2 linked regions of the Neurospora crassa OR74A genome follow. Each later gene encodes a partner of the first gene's protein in a complex. Links are inferred from orthologs where the notes say so. Each region holds a gene or a part of one and is shown on either strand. Other genes may lie near its edges.

Region 1 (4,203 bases):
AACCATTCCTTGGGCGCAGCGACCGAGGAGGACCATGAACAATCTGGCCCTTTTTGTGTGAAAATTTCGACCGCGTACGACTGATCGCGAGTTGGTTAATCAATTGCGCCCATACAAGCGGCTGAGGTATTACGTCAGAGGCGGCACAGGTCAGTCTTGGCCGTTGACCAGTGAGCGGGGATCTTTGGAAACCTCGGCCGAAGGTGCCGTGACGTAACGTCAATCCAGTTGGCGTTTCTTATTGGCCACCTGTCAGCGCGTAGGTCGCAGGCGAGCCACGATCAACCGCAGAGCTGGAACGGGCCGGCACGGGGCCGGCACATCTACATGTGCCTTACTACTAACGGCGAGGCTACTCCACGGCGCAACCTTTCATCGCATTTCACGATCCTACAATACCTCGCTACGAAGCTTCTGTCGGGCACATCACGCCAAGTACGCGGTCCGCTTTAAGGTCGCATCTTACTGCATTCCTTCATCGAGTATATGTACATAACTCGATGCAGTAATTAGCTTCGATCTTCTCTCCCCCATCTCCAGTAAGTATTGCTAGTTGTGCACTGCACTGTGACAGTTGTTTCGCTCAAGGTAAGGGTCGGTGTTTACCTGTTTCACCACATCACGAAACATGCGACTCACGCCATACGGTGTCTGTCTCGCTGGTGACCTTGCAGATTCATTGGACCACGATACCGAAACGGATATATGGACACATCAAAGCCGTGGACCCCATTCCGTCGTCTGGACTCTAGAATTCGGGAGAGCCCGTGCCCGGAATCCGGACCGGAACGGACAGTTGGACTCCCTGGCTGGCCGTTTTCCACGTGGGATTCCCATTTTGCCAAGCGATTTGACCGCACAAGTATCACGCACCCCCGCAGTACCGACGACGACCGATCCATGATTTATTTGAGCCTTGTATGCCTACATACTCTTTGAGGTTCTTGATTACTTCAACAGTCTGGTGAACCCCGGGCACAAGCATGTGAAAGTCGCAGGCCCCCGAAGGCATAGCCCTACATCGCCTCAAGACAATCCAGTGGCCCTTCTGGGTAGCGGGCACATCATGTAGTATATACTTGACACATATGCACGTCCTTTGAATGTCGTGACTCGTAACCAAGCTTCAAATCAGAGTTGACCTTCGCTTTGAAGTTGTGGTGGAACCAGATTTCGCTGTCGAATTTCGAGGCCCGTAGTTACACAAACGAGATGTCGGTACCCAGCACCGATCTGATTCGATTTCACAGGCCCCACTCTTCCTGCGAGGCTGCCTACATACACGAGTTCGCGCATTTGGGGAACAGCCTTGCAGTCCAGTAAACATTTCCGGCTTCCACCACACACCACGAACCTTTGTTCAGCTTGTGCATTCAACGTCGTCGCGTATCCCCTTTTCTCCATTCTTTCTTATTTCTCTCCGGCACTTTTTCAGCGCGACAACCAGTACCCGGCCTCCCGATCAACACCTACCAGGGAGTTGTCTACACGAACACGACTAAAGGCCCTGATTATCGAACTTCTGAACCTTCCACTCGTTTCGAAGTGACCCTCGAGCTTCTCCCACTAAGAGCGCCAGCTACTATCCGTCAAACTATCCCGACAAACATACGCAAACATGGCTGACTCGGACGGCGAGTACGCCTCCGACGATGAGCTCAAGAGGCATGGAAAGAGGACAGCGGACGGGCGCAGCAAGCAAACCAAGGCGTCATGGGAAGATGTTAAGCGCTCCTGGGATACCGTCTTGGAAACAGCGGACAGCGGCCTCTCCATCGCAGAGATTCGGGAGGCCGAGAAGCGGCGTCGCCTTCTGCGCGACACGACACCTCTTCAGCGTGGAATTATCCGCCATCTGATGCTTGTGCTCGACATGAGTTTCGCCATGGCCGACAAAGATCTGCTACCAAACCGTTACCGAGTCGTCCTAAATAACGCCATTGGCTTCGTACGCGAGTATTTCGAGCAGAATCCCATCAGTCAGCTAGGCATCGTGGGAATGCGCGATGGAATTGCTGTGCGAATAAGCGACCTGAGCGGGAATCCGGCCGAGCACATCGAAAAGTTGATGCAATGGAGCGAGCAACAAGACCCCCAAGGAAATCCGAGTTTACAGAATGCACTTCAAATGTGCCGAGGTGCTCTATAGTCAGCGCTACGGCCCACCCCCTCCGTGACAGAGGTCATTCGCTAACCGCTTCATGTTTTTGTACAGTCAAACGCCGTCACATGCCACGCGCGAAATACTGATAATCTACGGTGCCCTCGTCTCAATCGATCCGGGCGACATACACGACACCATCAACGACCTCGTAGCCGACCGCATCCGCGTCTCGGTCGTTGGCCTCGCCGGCCAAGTCGCCATCTGCAGCGAGCTTTGCAAGCGGACGAACAACCACGACGGCAACTACAGCGTCGCCGTAGACGAGGTGCACCTCAAGGAGCTCTTCTTCGCCGCCACCACTCCGCCCGTCACCCGCACGCCCGAGCAAAACACCGCCAGCCTGCTCATGATGGGCTTTCCCAGCCGCACGCTTGCTCCGAAAGACCATGTCAGCTTCTGCGCCTGCCACGCGAAGCCCACGCGCGAGGGGTACACCTGTCCGCGCTGCGGAATCAAAGTGTGCCGGCTGCCGATCGACTGTCCGATCTGCAAGCTGACGCTCATCCAGAGCACGCACTTGGCGAGGTCGTACCATCATCTGTTCCCGCTCAAGGTGTTTGTGGAGGTTCCGTGGTCTCAGGCGTATAAGTCGACGGCGTGCTACTCGTGCCTGACACCCTTTCCTGCTAGGCCAAGGGATTCAGTGGCGGCAGCGCCAGCTGTGTTAGGAGGGAGAGCCGGAGCTAAAGGTAGCGGGAAACAACAGGACGGCGAGCAGAAAAATCCAAAACCGGAACTCAAGGGTGTCAGCGAAAGCGGGCGGTATGCTTGCCAGGTATGCGGAAATCATTTTTGCATAGACTGTGATGTCTTTGCCCACGAGACTATTCATAATTGTCCTGGGTGTCAGAGCGATACGAGGGATGTGGAGAAGGATACGGCAGTAGCAGTACCAGACGGTGGCCCTACACCCATGGTGATGGATTCCTAGAGTGAGGAGCATGCTACAAATGGCGGCAGATGGAGGACAACAATTAGCCGCTCCGCTTGAACGTTTCAGATTCTTCGGGCGGAACCGAACCGGCCACTCTGGTTAAGAGCATCGATAGTATGGTATCGTGAACGAAAACGATACGATGACCCGAAACAGAGCAGTTTTAAGGGTATGGCGAACATATCTGTTACATGGAGGGGTTGGCGCTGCAAAGAACACGAAAATATACACGGCATCACGATCAAAATATACCCAGACGACTTGGCTAAGAAGAAAGTCCAAAGTGGAACTCCCAAAACCAAAGCTGTAAGGGACACCAGCCGAATAACTAGAGACGACGGGGTCATGGCTTCTTCATGCTCTTTACCAACAAGGCAGTGCAAAGGGATACTAGCGAAAGGGCTAAAGAAATGACGGGATCCAACAGATGTGAAATGGTCCTATGAATTCAAGAAGACGATTCGTTGGGTGTGGCGCATCTGTGAAGGAGATGGGAGACGGATATGGTTATGGAAGAATGATCAAGAAGACTCTTTGCGTATCGGTAGAGTCCCTTGTGACGAGGGGAAAGAGAGGACGGGCACGCAACGAATCATAGATGTGGAGTGATACGGCAATGTGAGATTTTGAGACCATACCAGCATCATCAAGTAGCGTACTAAAATAGCTAATCTTCATATGTCTACACGGTTCCGGTGATGTTCCGATAAAGGAAAAATCCTGCCCTTGAACAAATCGGACAAATTATATGCAAGTAGGTAGGAGTGCGTGGTGAAAAACGAGTGAAGAGCAGAATGCGAAAGGAACTTGTTGGGCGATCATGACTGGCGATTTATGAACAGGTCAACAAAATGTTTCAACCCCTCGTTTTCATTCGAAGCTAATACACCACCGTGAATTCGCTCATTACCTACAATTTCACATAGCTGATTTCAGAATGACAAAGTACTATGTAAGCACGTGTCAAAATCATCACATGATTTGCATAACTATGCCAAAGCTACTTTCATGCTCTACTTCTCGGTTTGAAGCCATATCGAAACCACAAACAAGTACTGTGCGCCTGCAAGATGCCATGCTAAGACCCTTCCGGCCAGCTCCCCTG
Region 2 (3,129 bases), on another chromosome or scaffold:
AACGCCTTTTTCGAGGCCATGTGGCTGGAGTTGGGCCAGATCTTCCGGCAGCTGTCGTCGGACCCGGACGTGCGGGCCGTGGTGCTCTCGGGCGCCGGTGACCGGGGTTTCACGGCGGGTTTGGACATCCACGCGGCCAGCTCGAACAACCAGCTGCAGTCGAGCGGCGCCCTCGACGTCGGGCGCAAGGCGGCCCAGTTGAGAAGATACATTACTGAATTTCAGGATAGCATTTCGGCTATTGAATTGTGCGAGAAACGTATGTATTGACTGTGCCGACTTGTCACTCTTCGTTACCCAGGGTGATATATATACGTCAAGCCAATGAACCAGTGCATGCGAATCTTGCTAACCTACAGAAACTCCCTGAAGCCGTCATCGTCGTCCTCCACGCCATCTCCCTCGGCCTCGCCATCGACATCGCCTGCGCCGCCGACATTCGGCTCTGCACGCGTGACGTTCGGCTGGCCGTCAAGGAGGTCGACATCGGCCTGGCCGCCGACATTGGCACGCTGAGCCGGCTGCCCAAGGCCGTCGGCAACTTCTCGTGGGTGAAGGAGGTATGCATGTCGGCAAGAGAGTTTGGCGCGACCGAGGCGCAACAGGTCGGCTTCGTCAGCCAAGTTCTCGACAGCAAGGTGGCTGCCCTGGATCAGGCGATCAAGCTGGCGGGCTTGATTGCTGGGAAGAGCCCGATTGCTGTACAGGGAACTAAGGAGTTGTTGAACCACGCAAGGGACCATTCGGTTTCTGAAAGTACGTTTCCTTTCTTGGTTTCTCTTCCTCCTCGTTGCTCGTTATCGTGAAGGAAAGGCTAAACTGATAATTTTGACACAGGCTTACGGTATACCACCGTCTGGAACTCGGCTGCTTTGCAATCAAGAGATATGATGGACGCGTTATCGGCTAGTGTGCAGAAGAAGAAGCCCGTCTTTTCAAAGCTTTAAAGAGGATCAAGTAGTCCATCGCAGGCTGGTAACTGCTACGCAGTGTTGAAGGTGTATAAATAAATGCATGTAATTCGGGGGGGTTCAGCGACTTGAAGTCACTACGTATGCGTCTCCTATTTACTAGGCAACTCCTAGTCACTATCTGCCAGCGGTTCCTCGGGCCTGTATGTTTCCTTCAGGCGCTGTTGTAGGTAGGAAAGTGTCAGCCAGAGGAAGGTGATATAATCGGACATGATATCTAGTTCACGATGCGGGCCAAACGGTCACACTGGACAAAGCAAAGGGGAAGCATATGACTTACGTCCTCGAGTTTCTGTTTGAGCAGTTGCACCATGTTTTCCTTAACAACCAGGGTCTGCTCATCAAGATCTTCGATGATGATATCGTTGTTAACACTATCCAAGTGAACGATGATGGACTTGATGGCTGGTTCGCACTGGATGAGTACACCTGAGCCAGGGACCAGTGTTAGCAGGGTGAGTATTTGTTTTGCGTTAGAGTCGTGCTGTGCTGTTGCTTATGAATGAGTCTTGACTAGACAAGCCCATGTACACGTCATTTATATGGTATTTCATGGGAATCCATACTGACCTCTGATTGCTCTCGGCATCTTGAATAGCTGTAGTTTCTGGCGGGATGGCAAAATGTCCTGTGATTTTTTTATGTCGCCGTAGCCCTCATCAAGTTGGCCTTTTGGGTATATGCTCTGAGAACAATGTCGTATGCGACGTGGTTTGGAATGTATCGGGCTGTGCTGGTTGTTGGTCGGGATATGGTTGGATCGTTAGATGGTTGGCGTGGAAGAAATGGGTTTGTGTTGCTGTATGGTAACTCAAATACAGCGTTTGAGCGTACAATTTGTTGGCAGCGCCTTCTCTGTAACGACGCGAGCAACCTGGCATGAAGTGACAGAGAAGCAGCGGCAGACACGGGTACCTACGTACGCTTGCAGAATACGGAACATTACGTAGGTACATACGTTCGGGTTCAGGTCAGAAAACTTGCCTTGCGATTACATACCCGCAATTATACTTACTGAACCTTGAATCCAGGTGCTGTCCCTCCAGATCAGATGAATAGATGATGAGGGCATCATGACCTTCACTTCAACCTCAATTGCAAGAACAGTGTGTATAGATGATTCTCACATTCCCTTACCAACAAGCTTCAACAAATAATTCGTCCATGAGTGGCCGGCTGGTCTGGATGATCACATTGGATCTTACTTAATGGAAACCCCGAATGTGATCAAAGCAGTCACAGGCAAGGGGGGACAATGGCGTCTCCAAAAAAACGAATCCTGTAACCACTTTCCCACTCTGTGTGGCCGTTTCGGGCCCTGGACGCTGCCAGGGATCGCTGGGCGGGAAGGCTTAACCGCTTGCAGTAAACCACCCCACCTTTTCGCTTGAGAGTGCCAGCGTGGGAGCGGAGATCGAATCTCAAAACTCGTGCCAATCGCAAGCTCAGATTAGTGATAGTATGGCTCGGATATTGGGTGCGGGTACTGAGTGGTGCCTAGACTGAGAGTTGGGAGTATTTCACGAGGATCCAGGGCAGGGAGCTGCGATGGAGACCAAGAAATATCTTTTCTGTCCAGGGAGTCCCAAAACCCTCTTGTTTGCTCCTGGATTGCCTTGCGGCGCAGGGACCGAGGTAGTATGTCGTTGGCTGACAATGATGAAATAGGTGCAGCAAACCAACGTACCCTACCCGTTCAAAACATGCCATGTCCAGTCTTTTATCCGTCTTGAGAATGAAAAAGAAAAAAGGAAAGGAAAGTAAGAAAAAGAAAAGAAAAACAAACGTCGATATGACGAGGGCGGATAGAGGTGACTAGGTACGACTTGCCGATGGCGGTTTCAGATTCTGTGCATCGGGAGCTCGATAACCGGTAGCGCCTTGTTACACCAAACTGAAATGTGACAAAAGTGAAAGACCCGATGAACTGTCGAAGATGTGATCGCAAACGAAGCCCGCATTCTTGAACATGGCGGTGCTTCCTTCCGTTCTGAAGACGACCTTCTGGAAGCGCGAGAAGAAGACCAGGGCCAAGACATGCCTCATTACTGCACTTGCCGTTGCCGTACAAGTTCGTTGTGTCGTCTGGCTGCGGTCAATCCTACGGTGTAGTGACCCGCGCTGCAGTCAGAATGCCCGCACCGCACCCAGATAATAA

Evidence for each region. Proteins that work in one complex are often made in the same cells at the same time.
Region 2: NCU01831 (region 1) and NCU06646 share a complex: the UniProt entries of both Saccharomyces cerevisiae proteins name them as parts of the 7-subunit TFIIH core complex. The link is inferred for Neurospora crassa OR74A from reciprocal best matches to the Saccharomyces cerevisiae genes SSL1 and TFB5.

What each region holds. Positions count from the first base shown.
Region 1 is NC_026502.1:2,258,588-2,262,790, forward strand, and holds NCU01831 (RNA polymerase TFIIH complex subunit Ssl1), read left to right. Parts: upstream 1-1,308; 5' UTR 1,309-1,618; coding exon 1,619-2,148; intron 2,149-2,215; coding exon 2,216-3,095; 3' UTR 3,096-3,796; downstream 3,797-4,203. UniProt on the Saccharomyces cerevisiae protein: Component of the general transcription and DNA repair factor IIH (TFIIH) core complex, which is involved in general and transcription-coupled nucleotide excision repair (NER) of damaged DNA and, when complexed to TFIIK, in RNA transcription by RNA polymerase II.
Region 2 is NC_026505.1:4,109,427-4,112,555, reverse strand, and holds NCU06646 (RNA polymerase II transcription factor B subunit 5), read right to left. Parts: upstream 1,786-3,129; 5' UTR 1,561-1,785; coding exon 1,542-1,560; intron 1,401-1,541; coding exon 1,252-1,400; exon of another isoform or gene 1,133-1,251; coding exon 1,082-1,132; 3' UTR 948-1,081; coding exon of another isoform or gene 838-947; 3' UTR 757-837; downstream 1-756. Other genes in the region: NCU06647 (enoyl-CoA hydratase/isomerase), read left to right, coding at 1-259, 373-756, 838-947. UniProt on the Saccharomyces cerevisiae protein: Component of the general transcription and DNA repair factor IIH (TFIIH) core complex, which is involved in general and transcription-coupled nucleotide excision repair (NER) of damaged DNA and, when complexed to TFIIK, in RNA transcription by RNA polymerase II.